Linked DNA regions of Saccharomyces cerevisiae S288C. The protein of the gene in region 1 binds, or shares a complex with, the protein of each later gene. Each region holds a gene or a part of one and is shown on either strand. Other genes may lie near its edges. The genes, in order: BNI5 and GIN4.

Region 1 (15,785 bases):
GAAAAAAACTCATGTGTCTTCAATCCCACATCAAGGCCCCTTCCTCTGGAAAGAGATCCCAATTAGGGATACCCGATCCGAGAATTTGAACATTGTGAGAACATTGAATCAATGATACCGAATGTTTAGCCCTCGCCGCCACATTACCCAATAGGGAATTGAAATGGAAATCGACTACTGAATTTTCCTATTGCTCATTTTTCTCTTTCCTTCAAACCATCGTCGGTAAAAGAAGGGAGTGAAGGGAAAAGCCAAAGATGATTAGGGATTCCGTCAGACATTCCTAAATTTGCCCTTTTTAAAAAATAGCACGCTTTAAGATATGCGTGTGGAACTAGTTCATCATGGTTTGACCTATCCCGAACGCTTTTGTTTCTAGCAATATTTGGTTATGACGATCTTTCAAGCGACGATTAATGAACTTGAAAGTGTAGGTTTTACAGTGATCGGTTGTCGAACCTCCGCTATCGTCTTCCCTGAGTTTCATTCAGTATTGTAAGACTGGATCATCTTATAATTTATAGTTCGAAAGGCCGAGAGGAAGCGCGTGATGAAAGCACGATCTTTTCTCTTTTACGACGTGTTAATAACAAAAATTATATATTCTTACACGTGTGTATGTTATTTCATATTTTTTTCAATATGGTCGATATATATAGATACTTCCTCTACAAAATCGTCCCCTGATCTGCCATCTCTTTTACCTTTTTCAACTACATCAGCCATTTTTCTTGTTTTTCAAGGTAAAAAAACCAGCCATCACCGAGATTGTGCTATTGTGCGTGGATGTATGGATTAAGGGCAGCCTGTAGGTTACTAGGTACATTGTCTTCGGAAAGGTGGTCGTTCAAATACTTCAAGGAGACATATGATAAAGCTGATGTCTATTTTGGTAATTTTTTTCCCGAAAAAAGTGCAGTTATTTATTCATAATGTGCGTTCTACATCCATAGATAAATACTTGAATAAAGAGGAATGTCCTTAACGCGTCCCTACAACGCATTTTTTCTTGTCAAATAGTCAAATCTGGAGTAAGTGTAGCCAATAAAAGGTAAATCTTCCTTGACTGGCGCACTTCCACCTTGCTTTGTCATCTGTTCCCTTTGTTTGGCAGCTTGTGCCATAGCTGGGGAATCTGGAACATTCTCCAACTCATCGGTTGGGAAGAACCTAGTATCGGTGATGGAGCTCAACTTTGGTATATACGGTGCTTCTACTTGTCTGATTGTATTCCAATCAACACCGCGAAAAAATGGATGACTTTTTATTTCATCTGCACCACCATGTCTACCAAGTCTTTGGTCTGCATGAGTTAATAGTCGACGGATTAGATCTTCGGCTTCATAAGAGATATGAATATCATCAGGAAATTGTAGAGTTTGCTCAAAATTCATGATTTTTCTGTACGTTTCCTGTGGAGTTTCGGAACAGAATGGAGGCCAACCAATCAGACACTCGTACATAATTGCTCCAAGTGACCACCAATCACACTCTTGCCCATAACCTTGGTATAAAAATATCTCAGGAGCAATATAATCTGGTGTACCTACGGTAGAATATGCCATTAAACGACGTGATTTTCTCCATGTCTGAATTTGTTGCCTGTTTGACATTGTTAGACTAATAGAATCCACAACCATTGTTTGCCTTTTATTTGCAGTATCGGTTGTATTTGCATTGTAAGTACCTGGCTTGGAAATACCATTAGTTGCCTCATCTTGTTGCAAAAGCTTTTTATAGTAGTTTGAGTCGTGAGTTTTATGGAACCCCGTAGACAACCCGAAATCAGATAATTTTATATGACCTCTAATATCGATCAAAATATTATCTGGTTTAATATCTCTGTGAATGAATCCTAATTTATGAATGGTTTCGATGGCCAAAATACACTCAGCCATGTAAAATCTAGTAACATCCTCTGTAAATAGTTGCCACCTGATTAGCATGGTCATCAAATCACCACCGGGCAAAAATTCCATGATTAAATATAAGTATTGAGCATCTTGGAATGAGTAATATAGCGAAACCACCCATGGAGAATCACTTCCAGCCAGAACATCCCTTTCAGCCTTGACGTGTGCTAATTGGTCCTTTTTGTACATTTCGGATTTTAATAAAGTTTTCATTGCATATATTTTTCCGGTGTCTTTCTTCTGAACCAGTCTGACTTCACCAAATGCCCCTTTTCCAATGACTTTCACAGTGTGGAAATCTTCTAACGATAATCTCGTTCTACGCAGCCTTAAAAATTGTGACTCTTTTTTACCCAAAGAACTCAATTGCCTAGATTTCCTTTCTTCTGACCAATTATGAGAAGTTAGTTCTGTTTCTAACTCCACTCTTCTTTCATTTCTTTCAATGGCGTATTTAACAGAGGATTGGTAAAAGTTCTCAATCTTCAACTTTACAGCTGCTGCTTTATCTTGCGTTCCTTTAGTCAACAAATCTGGTCGTCTTTCAAAGTACATATAGTTTGATATGGTACCATTATTAAAGCCGCTCTGAACGGGAGATTGTGATTGCTGCTGCTGTTGTTGCTGCTGTTGTTGTTGTTGTATTTGCATATGTTGCTGTTGTTGTTGTTGTTGTTGCTGCTGCTGGTATTGAAGTTGTTGCTGTTGTTGCCGGGAATTTTGTTGCTGTGCTTGGGAAAGTTGTTGCTGAACTTGGACATTTTCCTGTTCTTGTTGTAACCTCTGGAAGCTTTTCACACTCCTTAACCCGCTTGAATATGACCCATTGCTCCGTAGCGTTTGCGGTTGGTGGAACGGACTACTAGAAGAACTGCCATTTAAATTTTGATTGTACTCTGACTCTATAGAATATTGGCCCGGTGATAATTGGGGTAATTGTGCATTCCCACTCCCATTACCGTTCTGAACCATGCTCTGGGAATTATTATTATGTCTATAAAGACCACCCATCGACGGCGGTGGGGTATTGATCATCTGATTTGAAGCTGCGTAATTATTATGTGGTGGTGGTGTGGCTGGATAATTCAGGGCTGGAACGTCTGTAAAACCGCTGCCAAGGTTACCTGTCTCACGTTGTAAATGCTCTTGTAACGATTGATGAGAGCCTTGCTCTTTCATGTAGTTGCTACTAAATCCTGCAGCAGGCGGTCTAGGAATTTGCTGATACGGATTCATTTCGTTGGCGTATTGTTGTTGTTGTTGATGCTGTTGGTCTTGTTGTTGGGACATATAATAGCCATGTCCTGAAGTAGGTGCACCCTCATGATGATTGGTGCTGCTATTATACATTGCGAAAACTGCAGAGGATTACAGAAGGATCAGCGCAGACGTGTACCTATACTGAAATTTACGCTTACGTTTCAAAAAAAGAGCGATATCTATGTGGTAATATCAGTGTTCGCCGATAATAAAGCAATATCTGAACCCTTATTCGTGTGATATAGAAATTTATATGACCTTGCTCAACTATTCAAACGAAAAATGATCTTTGAATGTTAAAAATAGTCGCTGGACTGCAGATCAAACTGGAGTGCAACTGCTTCTCTGGAAACTAATCATTTTCGTCGAATAAGAATGATGGTTACCCGACCGACACGCGTCCTAGAGCGCCCGAACCGTACTAACGCATCATTAGTTGCAGGAATTATCGTAAAGTTTTATATTGTAATAATATGTAATTATATCAGATTTTAAAGCAAAGAAAATACAAAAGCGAAACCCATAAAGAGATTCAGAATTGCAAAGCTTGACCCTTTTGCTTCTTTTCACCACCCAATTCGAAGTGCTTGCATCTCTTCAAGGTCAATTGGGCTCTGGTCTTACATTTGACACATTCCAATCTCAAAACAACCTTCTTGGTAGTCTTAGCTTTCTTGTGGAAAACAGGCTTGGTTTGACCACCGAAACCAGATTGTTTACGGTCATAACGTCTCTTACCTTGGGCAAACAAGGAAGCCTTACCAGCTTTGTATTGAGTAACCTTGTGTTGAGTGTGCTTACGACAGGTCTTACCCTTACAGTAGGTCTTTCTGGTCTTTGGAACGTTAACTAAATAGAAGAAATAGATGAGACATCGTACTAATGTTAGTAAAAAAGTTTATTATTAGAAAAAATCAGTAAGGTGGTAAGCAAAATCTAGCATATTGAAAAGAAATAACAGTTATCCAACTTATCCCCTCTACGTTTCCTTCCTCAAAGAATATCACTGCACAATCTGAAGATAGCGAGGGAAATAGAAGCCTTTTTTGAGCTTCACAAATAGGCTACTGTGCTGTTTGGAGCTTTTTCAGAGCATATTATCAGAAAAACAGAAAGGATCCTCCATGCATATGATACTCTGTTGCTGCATATCTCGGTTTCATTGCTGACTGCTGAACTTTTATTGCGCATCGTTTAGTTTTGTGTATACGCCCTTTTTAGGCGCAGATTATACAGTTGCTAGGTGTGTCTGTTTATGCATTCATGACGATTATGAAATTTCATTGACAATAAAAATCAAATTAGCTTTTCTTTATTGGTCCTGATTTTATTCACCATTAGGAATTATGGTTATAACATACCCATTTTTACTGATAATTGTTGTTTTCCTCTATTAAGGATTAGATTTCAAGATGCATTTGGACCACTTAATGGTGCTATTATCTGCCTCCTTCGCGCTCATGTACTAGCCCTTCGAAGGTAGATTGAACCGCCTTTCCCGGGCAAAAGAGAAGGTTGCGCTATTTCCTGTGACCCAATCACTCTGCGGGCCAGCTGCTGTAACCTTCCTACTGGTCCGGCCTATTGGCACTAGACAAAGCTCCCTTCCCTGGCAGGATCAGTCCTGGCGTTAGGCGGAATTCAGGTGTTAAATGTCCGCAAGAGAAAAAATAGATAAATAAAAAAAAAGTATAACTCGAAGTAAATGTCTAGGTTTTACTTTAGATGTAAGGATGTAAGATCTCTGAATGTAGGACAGCATTTGGTAGAAAACTGTTATTATATGCCGATATGACAGCTACATATTTGCTATTTGTCACTGCGGTTTGGCGTTCCAAAACGCATTAGTCTATATTGGTGATGAATAATTGACAAGTTTTAATGCCAAAGCTAGACAAGTTATTACACACTTTTTAGTTTTCCTTGTACGAACTTTTTTGGGTTTCACATAGAAAGTAGATTATTCGTAAAAACCGGATACTTGATCTTCACTCTTTGAGACCTTTAATTATGTCGCTTCTTTTATGTTAATTTCAACTATCATGTTATTGCTCTTTATATTGTTATCGCTCATATTTGACTCTGCAATGGCGTTACTAGGGATAATGAAAGATAATGAACAGCAATAGTGCAACTATTTTATGGTTTGCTTCGTGAAGATAATCTTTTTTTTGCAACTTTTAAGACGTCATTATCGTCTACATACGTTAGATTTTCGAGTACTTCTCTTTGATTGAATGGGTAGCCGCAGACTAAGCTGGGACATATTATAATGGCATAATTTTGCTGTACTAAACACTTTTGAAGTCTTTCATTGCAATTTGGACAAAATACTTGGGAGTCGGGCTTATCAGACATCTTTTAATGACGTGTTCGTTTGTATGTAGTTTTGGTATACTGGATATTCGATATATTGTAAAGTGGAATTTTCAGCTCATCGCTTCCTTTTTCTTTTTCCTACGAGAAAAGAAATTTTGAAAAATGGGAACTTAAGAGCCAAGAATATTGATAGATAGGTGCACCCGAAATACAATCTTTGTACATCATCAAGATTATCAAAATAGTTTATAAAATAACCAAACTCAGTTATTTTTCTAAGCACGATAAGCAAATATGCCTAGAGTGGAATCGGAGACTTACAAACGTCTGCAAAATGACCCTTCCTGTATAAGAAATATATGTATTGTTGCTCATGTTGATCACGGTAAAACTTCACTTTCAGATTCTCTTTTGGCTTCGAATGGTATTATATCACAAAGGCTTGCCGGCAAAATTCGATTCTTAGATGCCAGGCCTGACGAACAACTACGTGGTATCACAATGGAATCATCGGCTATCTCTTTATATTTTAGGGTATTGCGTAAACAAGAAGGTTCCGATGAGCCTCTTGTAAGCGAGCATCTAGTAAACTTAATTGATTCCCCAGGTCACATTGATTTTTCAAGTGAGGTCAGTGCAGCTTCAAGACTATGTGATGGTGCTGTCGTACTGGTTGATGTCGTAGAGGGGGTATGCTCGCAAACCGTCACAGTGTTGAGACAATGTTGGACGGAGAAGCTGAAGCCCATTTTAGTATTGAATAAGATTGATAGATTGATCACAGAACTACAACTAACTCCCCAAGAAGCTTATATTCACTTGTCCAAAGTCATTGAACAAGTCAACTCAGTTATCGGGTCCTTTTTCGCAAACGAGAGACAATTGGATGATTTATTTTGGAGGGAGCAATTAGAAAAGAACGAAAACGCGGAATATATTGAAAAGGATGATTCGGGTATTTACTTTAACCCTACTGATAACAACGTTATTTTTGCTTCCGCAATTGATGGTTGGGGTTTCAACATCGGTCAATTGGCCAAATTTTACGAACAAAAATTAGGCGCTAAAAGGGAAAACCTACAGAAAGTTTTATGGGGTGATTTCTATATGGATCCCAAGACAAAAAAAATTATTAACAATAAAGGCCTTAAGGGAAGATCCCTGAAACCCCTTTTCACATCGCTAATCCTCGAAAATATATGGAAAATTTATCAAAACATAATCACATCGAGAGATTCTGAAATGGTCGAAAAAATAGCAAAAACTTTAAATATTAAGCTACTTGCACGTGATCTAAGGTCGAAGGACGATAAACAATTGTTAAGAACTATCATGGGTCAATGGCTACCCGTCAGCACAGCAGTATTGTTAACAGTTATTGAAAAATTACCTTCACCTTTGGAATCACAAACCGATCGTTTGAACACTATTTTGGTCTCCGAATCCGACACAGCAGCCATGGATCCAAGACTTCTGAAAGCCATGAAGACATGTGATAAAGAAGGACCAGTTAGTGCATACGTATCTAAGATGCTTTCAATTCCTAGAGAAGAATTACCTGTTGAATCTAAGAGGATAGCATCTTCGGATGAGCTGATGGAGAGAAGTAGAAAGGCACGTGAGGAAGCACTTAATGCTGCAAAACATGCTGGTATGGTAGAAAATATGGCAATGATGGATTTGAATGACAATTCTAAAAATACATCAGATTTATATAAAAGAGCAAAAGATACCGTTATGACCCCCGAAGTAGGAGAACAGACAAAGCCAAAACCTTCAAGAAATAATGATGTTTTCTGTGTTGTTTCAGAGCCTTCTTCCGCCTTGGATTTAGAATTTGAATATGAGGGGGAGGATGATTCAGATAGTCAAGATAACTTCGGCCTAGATTTTGTACCAACTGACATAGATCCAAATGACCCTCTAAGTTCAATGTTTGAATATGAGGAAGAAGATCCACTTTTGGAGAGTATTAAGCAAATTTCAGAGGATGTGAACGATGAAGTAGATGATATTTTTGACGAAAAGGAAGAATGCTTGGTAGCATTTGCAAGAATATACAGTGGCACACTAAGAGTTGGTCAGGAGATTTCGGTATTGGGTCCAAAATATGATCCAAAATGTCCAGAGGAGCATATTGAAACTGCGATTATTACGCATTTATATTTGTTTATGGGTAAGGAATTGGTTCCTTTGGACGTTTGTCCATCAGGAAATATAGTCGGTATTCGTGGTCTGGCCGGTAAAGTTTTAAAGAGTGGTACGTTGATAGAGAAGGGCGTACAAGGCGTCAATCTAGCGGGCGTCAATTTCCATTTTACGCCAATCGTTCGTGTTGCTGTGGAGCCAGCCAATCCTGTGGAAATGAGCAAGTTGGTACGAGGATTAAAGTTGTTGGATCAAGCAGATCCTTGCGTGCACACATACGTTGAAAATACTGGTGAACACATTCTGTGTACGGCCGGTGAATTACATTTAGAAAGATGCCTAAAAGATTTAACAGAGAGATTTGCAGGAATAGAAATTACACATTCTGAACCGGCTATTCCATATAGGGAAACATTTTTATCAGCCTCAGATATGAATCCACCGCAGAATTCACAGCTGGGAAGGGGTGTTCATGAACTACTATTGAGCCAGTACAAGATTACATTCAGAACGTTCCCATTAAGCGGTAAAGTTACAGACTTTTTATCTCAACATCAAAATAGCATTAAAAACATTTTGAAGACGTCCACTTCAAGCATGGATCCCGTCATAGAATCAACTGGAAGTTCTTTTCTAGACAAAAAGTCTTTACTCGTTGCTTTTGAAGAGGTCATAAATCAGGAGGAGAAGAGCAGAGAACTATTAAGTGGGTTTAAAGTAAAGTTAGCAGGTTTTGGGCCAAGTAGAGTTGGGTGCAACATTTTGCTGTCGCAGGATAATCTTCTTGGAAGCCTATTTGAAGGTACTCCAGCAGCCTTTGAGTATTCAGATTCCATCAAAAATGGCTTCCAACTGGCTGTTAGCGAAGGACCTCTGGCAAATGAGCCCGTACAGGGAATGTGTGTTCTTGTTGAAAGCGTACATAAGATGTCACAAGACGAAATTGAATCTATTGAAGATCCGCGCTACCAACAACATATTGTGGACTTATCAGGGAGGTTGATAACTTCTACAAGGGACGCTATACATGAGGCCTTTTTAGACTGGTCCCCAAGAATTATGTGGGCAATTTACTCATGTGATATTCAAACCTCTGTCGATGTACTTGGAAAAGTGTATGCCGTTATTCTACAGAGGCATGGTAAAATCATTTCTGAAGAAATGAAAGAAGGTACACCGTTTTTTCAAATTGAGGCACATGTGCCCGTTGTGGAAGCATTCGGTTTAAGTGAAGATATTCGTAAACGAACATCTGGTGCAGCACAACCTCAATTGGTATTTTCCGGATTCGAGTGTATCGATTTAGATCCATTTTGGGTCCCAACCACAGAAGAAGAATTGGAGGAACTAGGTGATACAGCAGATAGAGAGAATATTGCCCGTAAGCATATGAATGCCATCAGAAGAAGGAAAGGTCTATTCATTGAAGAAAAAGTTGTCGAAAATGCCGAAAAACAACGTACTTTGAAAAAGAATTAAGGTTTTTTAGGGTTTATATGAATCATAGACTAATATAGATAGTTTTCACTAGTTGAAAATATATATAAATATATGTATGTATGTATGTATATTCACTTGAATATGAGATGAAATAGCACAGTTTTCAAGCATTTCCAGTCTTACGTATTCTATGATATACTACATACTCTCGCGCGAGTGAATGTTTTAGCGATGGGACAAGAAAGTTGAGATGATCTGGACGATGAGAATGGCAAAATAAGCGAGAGCTACAGCAAGAACTACAGATTGCACTTTTTGCATATACCCTGAATAGGAATTTCTTTGCTAAATATTTGGTAATTTGTTATCCATATTTACTGATATCGTGCTTCTTACGACGAATTTATAGCTTTAATCATATTCTCTTCTCTTCTATTTTCATGCCATATCATCAAGAAAATGACACCTACAAACCAATCTAGTGGAACGACTAATGCATCTGTGGAGGTACTTTCAGAGGATGGACCTATGCCAATAAACGTTATGATGCAAGAAGGTGTGAAAGCGCTGACTAAAATTCTTTCCAATCAGCTTCAAGACAGACAAGCTTTTCAAAACGCTCCTCATGCAATGCAATTCGTTATAAGAAATGGAGGAAAAGCTTTATCAAATGCACGGTTAGAAGAGCTCAAAGATGCTCTTCCTAAGATGGACTCGTTGAGTTTGGAAGATGAACTTGCGAAAATAGATGGCCAAAGTGCATACCACATTGATTCCGCAGAGGAAAAGGAAACCTTTGAAAGTAAAATAGGCCAAATAGCTTCTAGAAATAGTGCAGACTTCATAATAGAGGAGGACTTGCAAAATATTTTAGATGATGATCTTAAAGACTCAGAACTTAACTTGGATGGCGAAGAAGCCGAAATAATTTTCGATTATGAGAGCCAAGAACTGGATACACCGGATGGTATAGGGGAAAAGATTTCTCAAATGATAGAATCGGTGTTACCGGGAGGGTTTGGAAGTGAAGAACAGGGGGGGTTGCGAACTGTAACAAATGTAGAGGATTTAGATGTTGCAGAAGAAGTCACAGATATCGATCATGATACCGTTGACGCAGCTCGTTTGCATGGAGACGGTCAACATTCCATATCTTCTAGAAAGCACAGCAGGTCAAAGAACTCGAAAAAGAATGGGCATGTAAGGCGACATGACTTTTATGACGAATCTAGAGACCATAAAAGTTGTTGCCCGCATCATCATTATGAAAACTTATCCAAACTACGAAACTACTATTATCATGATTTTGAATATATTTCCAGAACGGAAAACCGTGTTCCAGATTTCTCTGTCCTAGTTAACGAATCAAGTCCCATGTGTTTATTTTGCGAGTACTACATGGTGTTTGGTGAACCACCACGTAACATGATAAAGTGGTATAATCGTACGTTTGGTTACAATCGTATGCCGAATCCACCAAGAGATGAACAAGATAGTAGGAAAAGGAATAGATAGTCAACATTATTACTGTAGGAATAAAGTAGTATAGGGAACATTACATAATAGAGGAAAACTTGTGAGGAAAACTTGTGACATTCTAAACGTATTTAAGAGTTATTGAAAAATTAATGGTGTACGACAATATTTCTCTTTGAATATTTATATGCTTCTTAGCGGTATTATGACTAAATAGTAACAGGAAAAAACACAAGTAAATGCAAATGGGTTTACATCAGTAATCCTGCCGGTCCATTTAGCATATATGTGGTCGAGCTGCCCCATGCGGTGTGGCGTTTCTCCTTTCTTGATTCATATTCATGTAATAGCATGCACATGCAAGTAAGTATCTGACTATCCCACGGCACATTTTCAATGATATTAGAGCCCATTTCAGTATAATTGGTAGATGTTAAACTAGAGCCATCATCAAACGAATCAGTTTCTTGTAAGTACAAGGTAGCTACTCTCAAAGTTCTTTTTTTCGGTATGACACTAACTTTATCATCTGTGTATCTGGCCCATACTGGGAGATAACCCAGCGGTCTTGTGGGACGGGAACGGCTGTAAGAATCAAACTCTTCAATAGTTTGTTGGTTCATGTAGGATGCCATCGTATCATCGAGTACAAGTAGGTTGATGCTATTTGAGCCAAAAGGTGAAGCTAAACTAGTTGTCCCGTACCAACGAAGATTTAATCCATGAATTGCCGTATCCGCATTTTTCCTTTGATTGTAATTAATCATGGGGATATGAACATCAGGTTCATCTTTTCTATGAAATATAAAATCGTGCTCTACCCTGCTCGAAAAATTATGGCTTTCCATTTTTTTTAGAATAGTGCAGAATTCATATTTATATATGGAGACATTTTCGTTTATTCGAGAGACCACTTCTGAGTTTAATGGAGGTTTATCGCATTGGGAGTCTATCATAACGTATTTATATATCCTCATTACCGGTGTATTTTGATCACTGAAAAGCGACTTGACCAGGTTTAAAGAAATGGCGTGAAATAGGGGAAGTCCTAGACCCCTCTTTGGATCAATGTTATCGAGCTTCCTCTTGTTGTGTAAAAATAGCTGGAGAGATTCTTCACTGGGGAATGCAAAAAACCCTCGTTGTAGTAGCACCGAAACGAATGGCATGGCTCTTTCTGACGTGAATCTTGGGGCTCTGTTAACATAACCCTGTCTTTGTAGGTCTCCAATTGTTGAGCCTTCTGATACCGCTGTATTCAAAGTAGCTGCATCCGCACTATCATCGCCCTCGTTGGCAGAGGTTTCCAGAGATTCATTTTCTCGTGCAAATATTGTAGATTGGTCGTCTCCATAACCATTAGCTCCCAAGAGATTGACGGTGGATGGAGACCCACTGTGAGGATACGGAGGATGTTGGCGATTATGTCGGCGTCCCCGGCGATTTCCAATCAAAGAGCGTACTCTATCCATGCGGATCTTTGGCAAATGTATGTAGCACTTCTCCTATCGTTCAATTTGATGCTCTTTCTTTTCCAAAAGCCTTACTTGTTCTTCTTCTTCACTAGTAGTGAAGGGCTTTAGAGATGCCCAGAACCCAGACCATTTTAGACGCGTTATGAAATAAATATTGCGCTGAAAATTCAAACTTCATAATAAACAAAAATCATTAATAGTTTTGTAATTTGATTTACTGTTATGGTGATGCTATGTTAGTGTGAAATAGAACAACAGAAACGATGGGCTTGGACCAGGACAAGATAAAGAAGAGGCTTTCTCAAATAGAGATAGATATCAACCAGATGAACCAGATGATTGACGAAAATTTACAATTAGTTGAACCTGCGGAGGACGAAGCTGTCGAAGATAATGTCAAGGATACGGGTGTGGTCGACGCTGTAAAGGTGGCAGAAACGGCTCTTTTTAGTGGCAATGATGGAGCGGATAGTAACCCAGGAGATTCAGCTCAGGTTGAAGAGCACAAAACCGCACAGGTCCATATTCCCACTGAGAATGAAGCGAATAAGAGTACGGATGACCCATCCCAGCTATCGGTTACTCAACCTTTTATAGCGAAAGAGCAGATAACTCACACCGCCATTGCTATTGGTGACTCCTATAATTCATTTGTCGCAAATTCCGCTGGAAATGAAAAGGCAAAGGACTCCTGCACTGAGAACAAAGAAGATGGTACAGTCAATATAGATCAAAACAGGGGTGAAGCTGATGTTGAAATTATCGAAAATAATGATGATGAATGGGAGGATGAAAAATCGGATGTTGAAGAGGGGCGAGTAGATAAGGGAACAGAGGAAAACAGTGAGATTGAATCTTTCAAATCACCCATGCCCCAGAATAACACCTTGGGCGGTGAGAACAAGTTAGACGCTGAACTTGTATTAGACAAATTTTCTTCCGCTAATAAGGATCTAGATATACAACCGCAAACCATAGTTGTAGGAGGTGACAATGAATACAACCATGAGAGCAGCCGTTTAGCTGATCAAACACCCCATGACGATAATTCAGAGAATTGTCCCAATCGCTCTGGAGGAAGCACTCCCTTAGATTCTCAAACTAAAATTTTTATCCCTAAAAAGAATTCTAAAGAAGATGGTACCAATATAAATCACTTTAATTCAGATGGTGATGGACAGAAAAAAATGGCGAATTTCGAGACACGACGCCCTACAAATCCGTTCAGAGTTATCTCGGTGAGCAGCAATTCCAATTCAAGAAACGGAAGTCGTAAATCTTCACTAAATAAGTATGATTCGCCAGTCTCCTCTCCTATCACATCAGCGTCTGAGCTGGGCAGTATTGCCAAGCTGGAAAAAAGACATGATTATTTATCCATGAAATGCATTAAGTTACAAAAGGAAATTGACTATCTAAACAAGATGAATGCACAGGGTTCTTTATCTATGGAAGACGGAAAGAGACTACATAGAGCCGTAGTGAAGCTTCAAGAATATCTTGACAAGAAAACGAAGGAGAAATATGAGGTCGGAGTGTTATTAAGTAGACATCTGAGAAAGCAAATTGATCGTGGCGAAAATGGCCAATTTTGGATTGGAACTAAATGATTACATTACGCCAAGGGTTGTTATAAATATTTATAAATTAAGACAGATATATAAAGTTAAAATAAATACCAAAAGAACATAGACAATCGTAAGAGAATAAGAATCCTTTATCCTAGAGCCATCCATCTGTTATTTTTGATGTTGCTGACTTTTTTTCTGATAAATTCTATTATTTTAATAGTAAAGAGGTGAGTATTTCGCCTAAACGTAAACAAAACGATAATAAAAAAAAAAAAAAATGAAGACAAAATGTTCAGATAGTCAATTATATTGTAATAACATGAAACGGAACAATAACAGTACCCAGAATTCAATTTCAATGGCGTTGTGTCTTCTTTTCTCTAAGAACTTTCATAAACCAAGTCGTACTTAACCGCGCTAGCGATAACCCTGCTAACTTTGTCGCAGAGGGAAAAAAGTAGAATCGAAGGGAAAAATCACGAAAATTAACTGGGCTGAATAGAATGAATTCAGTCATACGGTGATGGTTTTCGAAACAAACTGCACATTTTTCCAGTTAAAAGGACCAAGTTTGGTTACTGATACGTGAGACTAATTTGTTCTCCAGAAACACAATAATTTGGTGCTACATTGCCAACGCTCAGGAGTGGTTTTAAGCTCAGAAAAGTTACTACCAAAGGGGTTCAACGTAAAAGTGAATTGTGTTTTCTTATCGAGAAAAACTCTTTTATTATTCAAGTGAGTTTTCCACTTATTAGATTCCTATCTTTTTACCGATCTCTATTATTTGATAAGTTCCTTAATCAATTCGTGGATTTTTATTTTTATTTCATTCTTTTCATTTCAATTTCTGCATTCCAAATACACCTGCCCAGTCTCTAGACCCTGCTTAATCATTATGTCAAGCGAGGAACGCTCGAGACAACCAAGTACTGTTTCAACTTTCGATTTAGAACCCAATCCTTTTGAACAAAGCTTCGCCTCTTCCAAGAAGGCTTTGTCACTTCCAGGCACGATCTCCCATCCGTCTCTACCAAAAGAGCTTTCACGAAACAATTCTACCTCAACGATAACACAACATTCCCAACGTTCCACTCATAGTTTGAACAGTATTCCAGAAGAAAATGGGAATTCAACCGTTACAGATAATAGTAATCATAATGACGTAAAAAAAGACTCACCTAGTTTTTTACCAGGCCAACAAAGACCTACTATAATATCTCCGCCTATTCTCACACCTGGTGGGTCGAAAAGATTACCACCTCTACTCCTTTCTCCCTCTATTTTATATCAGGCAAATTCAACTACGAATCCCAGTCAGAATTCACATTCTGTTTCAGTCTCTAATTCAAACCCTAGTGCAATAGGCGTTTCTTCTACCTCCGGATCTCTGTATCCAAACAGCTCTTCTCCTTCAGGGACTTCACTTATACGCCAGCCACGAAACTCGAACGTGACCACAAGTAATTCTGGTAACGGCTTCCCCACGAATGATTCACAAATGCCTGGCTTTTTATTAAACTTGTCCAAATCTGGGTTGACACCTAATGAGTCCAATATCAGGACCGGGTTGACACCCGGTATTCTTACGCAATCTTACAATTATCCCGTATTGCCGTCAATTAATAAAAATACTATAACAGGTAGCAAAAATGTCAACAAAAGTGTCACAGTGAATGGAAGTATTGAAAACCACCCTCATGTTAATATAATGCACCCAACTGTAAATGGTACACCACTTACGCCGGGATTGAGTTCTCTGCTAAACTTACCATCTACTGGAGTTTTGGCTAATCCAGTATTCAAATCAACACCTACAACAAATACCACAGATGGTACCGTCAACAACAGCATCAGTAATTCCAATTTTTCCCCAAATACTTCAACGAAAGCGGCTGTCAAAATGGATAATCCGGCAGAGTTCAATGCCATCGAGCACTCCGCTCATAATCACAAGGAGAATGAAAATTTAACGACTCAAATTGAGAACAATGACCAGTTCAATAACAAAACACGAAAAAGAAAGAGAAGGATGTCTAGCACAAGTTCTACTTCTAAGGCTTCAAGAAAAAATTCCATATCAAGAAAAAACTCAGCAGTTACGACTGCACCAGCACAAAAAGATGATGTTGAAAATAATAAAATTTCAAACAACGTAACACTTGATGAGAATGAAGAGCAAG
Region 2 (10,371 bases), on another chromosome or scaffold:
CAAATATTGGCGTGATCCCGGAGCCTTCCGTGGTGATACACCCATCCAGAGGTTCAAAGGTGTCGTTGCCACATTTGTCACAGCAGCGTTCGCCTTTGGTATGAGTGAACAGCTGGCTATGACTGCCAGTGAACAATCCAATCCAAGAAAGGCTATTCCATCGGCGGCAAAGAAAATGATTTATAGAATTCTGTTTGTGTTCTTGGCGTCTTTAACGTTAGTTGGTTTCCTTGTACCTTACACCTCAGATCAATTGCTAGGGGCCGCAGGTTCAGCCACTAAAGCGTCGCCCTACGTCATCGCTGTCTCCTCTCATGGTGTTCGTGTGGTTCCTCATTTCATAAACGCTGTCATCCTGTTGTCTGTTCTTTCCGTTGCTAACGGTGCCTTCTATACCAGTTCTCGTATTTTGATGTCGTTGGCCAAACAAGGTAATGCACCCAAATGTTTCGATTACATCGATAGGGAAGGTAGACCTGCTGCTGCTATGCTTGTCAGTGCATTATTTGGTGTCATTGCATTCTGTGCCTCATCTAAAAAGGAAGAGGACGTTTTCACCTGGTTGTTAGCAATCTCCGGTTTGTCTCAATTATTCACGTGGATTACCATTTGTTTGTCTCACATTAGGTTTAGAAGAGCTATGAAAGTGCAAGGAAGGTCCTTAGGAGAGGTTGGTTATAAATCTCAAGTCGGTGTCTGGGGGTCGGCTTACGCTGTCCTTATGATGGTGTTAGCTTTAATCGCCCAATTTTGGGTTGCCATTGCCCCAATTGGTGGAGGAGGTAAGTTAAGTGCCCAATCATTTTTTGAGAATTATTTGGCTATGCCAATCTGGATTGCTTTATACATCTTTTACAAAGTTTGGAAAAAAGATTGGAGTTTATTCATTCCCGCTGATAAAGTAGACTTAGTTTCTCATAGAAACATCTTTGATGAAGAATTATTAAAACAAGAAGATGAAGAATATAAAGAGAGATTAAGAAACGGACCATACTGGAAAAGAGTTCTTGATTTCTGGTGTTAAAGCAGAAATCACGATTCAAAAAAAAAAAAAAAAACTTGAAGAAACAATTCAATTAGCATATTATTTCAAATCCCAGCCTTCCTACACGCTCTTCCTGTTTTATCTCTTTCCTTTCATTCTCCCGTCCCCCTCATTCATGTATTTCTTATTTCATTATACTATTTAACTCTTTAAATATTCTATGTACTTTGTGCAAACATCATTGTCATCACATAAATGCATTCCTACTATTACTAACTTGAACTTCACTTCACTGGAAGAACTGGGTTATTCAAGGTAAAGAAATCATTTGTTTTGCGCCAAGTTTCGTCTGACAAGAATTTTTTATTATTATTTCCCACTTTTCATCGAAGGAAACGCGTCAAATCCATTCGTTACTACGCGCAATCTGCGTTATTTCCTTTTTCGGCATACCATCGCGAAATATCAACGGCCACACCATAGATTCCTTTTGATGTTAAATTAAAAGCGACTGAATGAAGTGCACACATTTTTTATTTCTTCTTGATTTTCTTTTCTATTTTGTTTTGCTTTCTCTTCTGTCGACAACGTCTCAACTGTACTCACCATTAGTATTCTCGAAGGCTTTAGCAGACTTGTGAATAATTAATTGCCCACTTTGATCAAGAAAGATATTCGCAGCACAATACAATAATAACATTCAAAATGGCAATCAATGGTAACAGTATTCCTGCCATAAAGGATAATACCATCGGTCCATGGAAACTAGGTGAAACTCTCGGTCTAGGGAGCACTGGTAAAGTCCAGCTTGCTCGTAATGGATCCACAGGACAAGAGGCGGCAGTTAAGGTAATATCAAAAGCAGTATTCAATACCGGTAATGTCAGCGGTACTTCGATTGTTGGCTCCACCACCCCAGATGCTCTACCATATGGTATAGAACGCGAAATAATCATTATGAAGTTGTTAAACCACCCAAATGTGTTACGTTTATATGATGTCTGGGAAACAAATACAGATTTATACCTTGTTTTAGAATACGCGGAGAAAGGTGAGTTGTTCAACTTATTGGTTGAGAGAGGTCCTCTGCCAGAGCATGAAGCTATCAGGTTTTTTAGACAAATTATTATTGGTGTGTCGTACTGTCATGCGTTGGGTATTGTCCATCGTGATCTAAAACCGGAAAATCTATTATTAGATCATAAATATAACATCAAGATTGCAGATTTTGGTATGGCTGCTTTGGAAACTGAAGGAAAGCTACTGGAGACGTCGTGCGGATCACCACATTATGCTGCACCAGAAATTGTATCTGGTATACCGTATCAAGGTTTCGCAAGTGATGTGTGGTCATGCGGTGTGATCCTATTCGCCCTTCTTACTGGTCGGTTACCCTTTGACGAGGAAGATGGAAATATAAGAACACTATTACTTAAAGTTCAAAAAGGTGAGTTCGAAATGCCTTCTGATGATGAAATTTCGCGTGAAGCTCAGGATTTGATTAGAAAAATCTTAACCGTTGATCCTGAAAGAAGAATCAAGACCAGAGATATACTCAAACATCCGCTATTACAAAAATATCCAAGTATAAGAGATTCTAAAAGTATTAGAGGCTTACCAAGAGAAGACACATATCTCACGCCATTATCAGAAAGTAATTCTTCTATTGACGCTACGATTTTGCAAAATTTAGTAATATTATGGCATGGAAGAGATCCTGAAGGAATTAAGGAAAAACTAAGAGAACCTGGCGCTAATGCAGAAAAGACATTATATGCACTACTGTATAGATTTAAGTGTGACACTCAAAAAGAGCTTATTAAGCAACAGCAAGTTAAGAAGAGGCAGTCAATTAGTAGCGTTTCTGTTTCCCCATCTAAAAAAGTATCGACAACTCCACAACGCAGAAGAAATAGAGAATCTTTAATTAGTGTAACATCTTCTCGTAAAAAGCCAATATCCTTCAACAAATTCACTGCCTCCAGTGCCTCCTCCAGCAATCTAACTACACCCGGTTCTTCAAAACGCCTTTCAAAAAACTTCTCTTCAAAGAAGAAATTATCTACAATCGTTAACCAATCTTCTCCAACACCAGCATCACGTAATAAAAGAGCTTCGGTTATAAATGTGGAAAAGAATCAAAAAAGAGCCTCTATCTTTTCTACTACCAAGAAGAACAAAAGATCTTCTAGATCTATCAAGAGAATGTCATTGATACCAAGCATGAAACGTGAATCGGTGACAACAAAATTAATGTCAACATATGCGAAATTGGCAGAGGATGACGATTGGGAATACATTGAGAAGGAAACAAAGAGAACGAGCTCAAATTTTGCAACTTTGATAGATGAAATTTTTGAGTACGAAAAGTACGAACAAATAAGGAAAGAGAAGGAAGAGCTAGAACGTAAAGTGAGAGAAGCAAAAGCACGTGAAGAGCTGGAACGTAGAAGACGTAAACAAGAAGAAAAAGAACGTGCAAGAAAATTACTAGAAAAGGAAGATCTGAAAAGAAAACAGGAGGAACTCAAGAAGCAAATTGAAATTGATATAAGTGATCTAGAGCAAGAGCTGTCCAAACACAAAGAGGAAAAACTGGATGGTAATATTAGATCTATCTCTGCTCCTATGGAAAATGAAGAGAAAAATATCAATCATTTGGAGGTTGATATTGACAATATTCTCCGTCGCCGCAACTTTTCTTTACAAACTAGACCTGTGTCAAGGCTTGATCCGGGTATAATGTTCTCCAGTCCAACTGAGGAAGTAAGTCCAGTGGAACCAAAGAGAACAGAAAATGAAAGACTTACAACAGAAAAGAAAATTTTAGAAACTATCAGAAGATCAAAATTCTTGGGTTCATCATTTAATATCGATAAAGAGTTGAAATTGTCTAAAATGGAATATCCAAGTATAATTGCACCACAAAGATTGTCAGAGGAGCGAGTGGTGTCAGATTCTAATGATGGATATGAATCTTTGATCCTCCCGAAGGATGGGAATGGCGTATCTCAATTAAAGGATAGTACCGCAACAACTGCTCCCGTCTCTGATGGTAGGTTGAGGAAGATCTCTGAAATTAGAGTACCACAATTTACTAGAAAATCAAGGCATTTTAGTGAGTCCAATAAAAGGCTATCTGTCCTGTCGATGTACTCTACCAAGGAGTCGTTTACCAACTTGGTTGATATTTTGAAAAACGGTAACCTTGATGTCAATAACCAACAAAGCCAAAGAATTCCAACACCAAGAAGTGCGGATGATTCAGAATTTCTTTTTGAAACTGTCAACGAAGAAGCTGAATATACAGGAAATAGTTCGAACGATGAGAGATTGTACGATGTCGGTGATTCCACTATCAAAGACAAATCCGCGTTAAAGCTGAACTTTGCAGATCGTTTTAATGGATCGAACGAAGCGAAACAAACTGATAACTTACATCTTCCGATCCTTCCTCCGCTTAATGGTGACAATGAATTGCGTAAACAGAATAGCCAAGAGGGTGACCAGGCACATCCAAAGATTAAATCGATGATACCAGAATCAGGCTCTTCTTCACATACTGAAAAGGAAGAAGAAAATGAGGAAAAGGAAGAGAAAAAGCCAGAACAACACAAACAAGAAGAGGATCAAGAAAAAAGAGAGAAAGTAGTAGATGATATGGAGCCACCATTGAACAAATCTGTGCAAAAAATTAGGGAAAAAAATGCTGGCTCGCAGGCAAAGGATCATTCAAAAGATCACTTAAAAGAGCATAAGCAGGATAAAAATACAGCAATTGGAAATGGTTCCTTCTTTAGAAAATTCTCAAAATCTTCGGACAAAACAATGGAATTGTATGCCAAGATTTCTGCAAAACAATTGTTTAATGGTTTAGAGAAGCTGTTGCGTGGTTGGACTCAGTATGGTTTAAAAAATATAAAATCGCACCCCAACAATCTGACCTTAACGGGTAAACTATCGAGTGATAATATATTCTCACTACGTTCAACACTCTTTGAGGTTAATATTTATCCGAGAGGTAAGATGAGCGTTGTGCAGTTCAAGAAAGTTTCTGGTTCATTCAAAGCTGTCAAAAAGTTGGTCAATGAAGTTGAGAACGTCCTGAATAAGGAAGGCGTTCTACAAAAATAGTGCTAATGTAATGCAATCATGTTTTGTCTCCTTCGTTTTGTTCTGCCATAATATTTCGCTCATATTATTTTTGCTTATTTTTTCCCCTCCGTATTAATACTTTAAATAACAATCTAATGGAGGTACTGGACTCTATGTACTATTATATTTACCCTTAAAATATCGTGTTGATTACTATTTGTATAACCGTTTGTTTTTCTAACTATATATGAAAGAAAAGTAGTTATAGTTATAGTAGTTGAAGATTTAAAAGCTATTTGCCCTCTTTGGGATTAAAGTAAGAGCTAAACATAAATTATGTAACAGTTTAATTTTCCGAACATTAATTGTTGTTAAAGGCTTTAATATCAAGTATACTGAATATGCTAGAAGTTCCACTCAAGCATATAAGAATATCTGCCTAAATTATTATTTATCACTACAACTTGGCTACAAATTATGAACAATGAGGCCGACAAGAAGTTACTCTCTTAAAAAATGGGATATGATATATACAAACATATGATACAAAAATTTCAACAAATAAGTGGTTGTTTGGCCGAGCGGTCTAAGGCGCCTGATTCAAGAAAAAATCTTGACCGCAGTGAACTGTGGGAATACTCAGGTATCGTAAGATGCAAGAGTTCGAATCTCTTAGCAACCAATATTTTTTAGTTTACATTTTTTTCGGGGATAGTCATAGAGGATCCACCTTCATCTCAGCTGTCCACATTAAGGCCAAAGCTAATAAAGTGGCACATACTGGGCGGTTAAACAAAGTTATTAAGTAATTATTGCAAAACTCCGTGGACAACTTGTTTAGAATGAAGGTCATTCTCCTTAAGCCGGTTCAGTTGCCAATGCTACTCTTAATACTATTAAAATTTATTATGGCCGCTAAGGAAGGCAAAATACATGTCTTAGAATTCAATGCGAGCAGTGAATACACGCTTGATAAGAGAAGAGTTATCTCCATAAATGGCTACAGCGCTACATTTGGCCCAGAAATTCGAGTTAAATCCGGTGACACTCTTAACTTGAAATTGACTAACTGGATATGTTCAGAAGAAGAAGCTAGTAAAGACAGTGATGTTTGGAAGGATTACTGTTCAACAGCTTTACATTTTCATGGGGTGGTACCTTTAGCAAATGAATTTGATGGAATTCCAGGTTTAACACAGCCCACTATTGGATATGGAGAAAGTTATTGGTATAATTTTACCATTGATCAATCAACCTGTGGTACTTTTTGGTACCATTCGCATTCATCAGTACAATACGGTGACGGTATGAGAGGTGTTCTGATAGTTGAATGCGATGATTATGATAATCATGTGGCAAATACTATTAATTCTGTGAGAGACATAGAGACACTAGATGACGGTGTTGTTACAATGAAAAAAGATAAACACACGAAGGAATTGACGGATTATGAAGTTCAAGAAAGGATTATCACTTTGAGTGATTGGTATACCAATTGGAATTTGGACATTTTAAACGACAAGGTTTTGTCATCTACCGGGGGTACAGATCCCAAATTTGATGGATCATTAATAAATGGAAAATCATCTGACGGTGAAACTATCAAAATAGGATTTAACACCGAGTATCTTCTTTTGAGAATCGTAAACTCAGGAATGTCTGGTACTCAAGTCTTTCACCTTGATGGATTCCAATTAATTGTTCTAGAAGCCGACGGGATTATGATTAAACCGTTCATTGTACAAACGATAAATTTAGCGGTCGGACAAAGATATACAATTTTGGTCAAACTAAAGTCTGACACTAGTTTTATTCGTATGATTAATGGCTGTAACAAAATGATGGGTTATATAACAAAACAGTGGTGGTTTTACAAAGAAGGCGCTCATTTGGACCTACCAAAGAACCCCAATGACGTTTCCATCGAACACTTGCCTGGTTTCACTAAGGCCGAGCTTTATCGCGACATAGAACCAACGCAAGAAGAGAATAAAAAGTTACGCACAAAGGCTGATCCTGTTGCAGTTTTCGAATTCGATTATGCTTATTACAAAGATGAAAGCACGAAACAAAAGTATGGGACTGGGATGTATAAGGTGAACGAACGGACATTCAGCGAGTACGTAAAAGACCCGGTAAGGTTCGGATTCAACGAAACATATGATATTGTAATCAACTCACTGGACCACATGAGACACCCATGGCATATGCATGGCCATCACTTCCAGATAATATCTCTTGGCAATAAAGGTGATGGCCCATTTCACAAAGACGTACAAGAGGGCAAGGCATGGAGCCGCTATCAGAACGATTTACGTCACCTGGCCCGAACCGGAAAGGCACCGATGGTAAGGGATAGCATTAACATTGCAGGAAATTCTTACGCGGTTTTGAGAATTAACACCGAGATGCCCGGAAAATGGCTTTTACATTGTCATGTGGAGTGGCACATGATGAAGGGGCTTGGCATTGTCTTTGAGGTTCCGACAACAACCGAGGACAGTACCAAACAAGCAACTACAGCTGTATTATCGTACCCTACCAAGGAACCTGACCCTAACACTGTTGTCCATACAGCCGCACTTGAACAAAATAAGTCCAAGGTAATAGCCGTCTACATCCTAATCATGTGTGCGGTTGATGCTATCTTCTACTGGTTGCTCATGTAATCACATCCATTTCTCCCAACTCATTGCTTTTTTTCGCTTTTCCCACAGCCGTTTACAAGGCCGCAAAAAAGAAAACCCGCAAAGCTGACGGAAAAAGTATCGGCTAGCTTTCCATTGGCGACAATCGCCTCCGAGTGCGAAAACCTGTATTTCTCTGACTGCCGTAGGTCATATAGGATTGGGTCATAACGGTTTTTTGGAGACGAATCCTTCCCCTAATCGTGTTGGATAACATTACGGATCCGTGTTTTAGCTAAAGGAACAAAACAAAAATAAATAAAGGATAAGAAGAAGGATTCACTGATAATTAAGAGCTGTATTTTTCATTGGTTCGGCAGTTAGAAACAGAGATAGCATCAGTTCGAGTGTTCTTTGATATAGTAAACAGCGTATATAGAAAAGAATAAAGTGTATTGAAAGGCTCAAGAGAATTATAGAGAAAAAAACGAAGGATAAATCAAAAAAAGCGGTGTCTGATACAGTGCTCAATAGAAATACAGTTGCAAAATGGACCTCCCAACTGTTAATAGCACAACAAGCATTTCCGACAATGTGGATTTAAAGAACTACTATGAGGACTTGCTTTTCAAGAATAACAGCGGAAAATCGCTATCCGATTTACCCCGTAAACTGAATGATAACTCCAATAATTCAGGAAGTGATACGGTTGATCCGCTTGCTGGCCTGAATAATTTGAGAAACTCAATAAAAAGTGCGGGAAATGGTATGGAAAACAGGAGGACTTTTGACGATATTGATTTTATGGGTAGGTTTCCGTATTTGCCACCAGTGCCAAATCAACAACAGCAACCGTTTTCTCACCAGAACGGGTTCATTCAAGAACACCCTTCCAGTAATTTGACCTCTTTTCAAATGTCTTCGTCTAATTCAGAGCCGATGTCCGCACCGCCCATTTCATCCAATAACAATAATTTAAACTCTACTCAAATGGGTAATTATCAAGCTCAACAACGGTCGTTCCCGCAATTTAATGGAAATTCATTTCATTCAAATGGAAACGACCTAATGGGGAATCGGATGGATTCAGACTACATGCGTTTAATGAATAAAACAAACATAGGTTTTACTTCCAATAGCGGCAGCAATTTTGCTGCCCCATCACACAGTGCTGGCAACCCATCTAGTATGAACAACCAACAAGTACCATCATTTAATTGGCAACAGCCATCTCATCCAGAGTCTACCATTAGGAGATCCTCCTACATATCAGATACTCTAATCAACCATCAAATGCCTGACGCTCGGCAAAAGCAAACATCCCAAGTGCAGCAGCAACACGCTCAAGGTTTCAATCTTTTCAATAGCAGATTCAACTATGACAACTTGAACTCAACCCATTTGACCGCCAAAGGTGTGCCCGAGTTTGGAAATGGTGTACAACCTCCGTATCCTTATGATAACGAGCCTAATAATGCCAGTATCAGCAATAGTAATAACAACAACAACAGTCACAATATGGTTCCAATGCAACAGTTTCGCCGGAATACACAACCGGTAGCGAGCTTCAATCCATCCCTTCCTACTTTTCAACAACAACAGCAACAACCACAACAACCACAACAACCAAGAAACGTTAATGTACCTACTTCTTTCAATGGCGAACGTGTTGATGATGTTCAGCTTGTTCAACTTCAAAGAAGCAGTTCTGTCCCTTCTTCTACAAACTCACATAACCTTCAGAACGAGAACAGCAATGAAGGAAATGTATCTTTGGACAATGGTTTAGTTTTAATTCAGGGTAAACACTTGACTTCGTCCAAAACCTTACACGATTTATACAGCGACTGTGGCAGCGGCTATTTTGCTAGCTCTGCAGTTTTTGAATTCACAGATAATATTAAGAAAATGCTGAAGTTGCACGATTCTAATGAAAGTTACGACGCGAAGAACATGGGCTTAATCGATGAAGAAGGTAATACATACCAATCTTTATTAAATTTCTTGGACATTTTAAGAAGTTGCAACATGAATTACGTTAATGATCCAGAGTCGAATAATGGAATTGTTTCCAATAATGGAGGCAATAAAAATAGGAGGAAGGGCTCTTTCACAACAGAACTATCATGCAGGAATGCTAATAACTCCTTTTTACCTTATACACCATTGGTACTGGTTGCTTTGAAAAATGGGAAACTTGAACTACTATCTACTCCACAAGCTACCAATTTGTTGTTAAAGAGAGGTGACTTGGTTATTATTGATGGTGACCGTGGAAGGGATTTAGTATTGGTTGTTGAGCCCTCTGTCGATTTGAATTTAGCATTATTTATAAATTTTCTGAAAAAGAAAATTCACTTTGACTCTTTAATTACAAGTGAGTCACAGCACTATCGCAATGATGAGTTTATTCAAATGTTGATTGACTCAAAAAATGGGCAAAAGAAAAAATTAAATCCCAAATTGTATGATGTTGTTGAATTAACTGAGTTAATCATACCATCTAAACAAGTCTTACGTTTTGCCACCCCGTGGGAGGTAACAACGAATTTGCACAATAAATTTGAAGATGAATTAAAAGCCTTGCATATTGCTCAGAGTAAATTACAAGCGTTAAATGATAATTCAAAATCTCAAAATACAAATGACAGTTCTTCCAATAAT

Evidence for each region.
Region 2: BNI5 (region 1) and GIN4 share a complex: the UniProt entries of both Saccharomyces cerevisiae proteins name them as parts of the GIN4 complex.

The regions. Positions count from the first base shown.
Region 1 is NC_001146.8:320,075-335,859, reverse strand, and holds BNI5 (Bni5p), read left to right. Parts: upstream 1-12,294; coding exon 12,295-13,641; downstream 13,642-15,785. Other genes in the region: serine/threonine protein kinase CBK1, read right to left, coding at 993-3,263; 60S ribosomal protein eL42 RPL42A, read right to left, coding at 3,706-4,022, 4,535-4,538; YNL162W-A (uncharacterized protein), read right to left, coding at 5,313-5,531; GTPase RIA1, read left to right, coding at 5,787-9,119; IBD2 (Ibd2p), read left to right, coding at 9,540-10,595; YNL165W (uncharacterized protein), read right to left, coding at 10,808-12,028; SKO1 (Sko1p), read left to right, coding at 14,501-15,785. UniProt on the Saccharomyces cerevisiae protein: Required for normal septin function and cytokinesis. Its recruitment to the bud neck by CDCd11 and SHS1 ensures efficient localization at the bud neck of MYO1, the type II myosin of the actomyosin contractile ring.
Region 2 is NC_001136.10:1,457,106-1,467,476, reverse strand, and holds GIN4 (protein kinase GIN4), read left to right. Parts: upstream 1-1,690; coding exon 1,691-5,119; downstream 5,120-10,371. Other genes in the region: glutamine permease GNP1, read left to right, coding at 1-1,024; GMC1 (putative oxidoreductase), read left to right, coding at 5,923-7,749; PSP1 (Psp1p), read left to right, coding at 8,257-10,371. UniProt on the Saccharomyces cerevisiae protein: Serine/threonine-protein kinase which regulates the localization and the function of the septins during mitosis. Phosphorylates SHS1.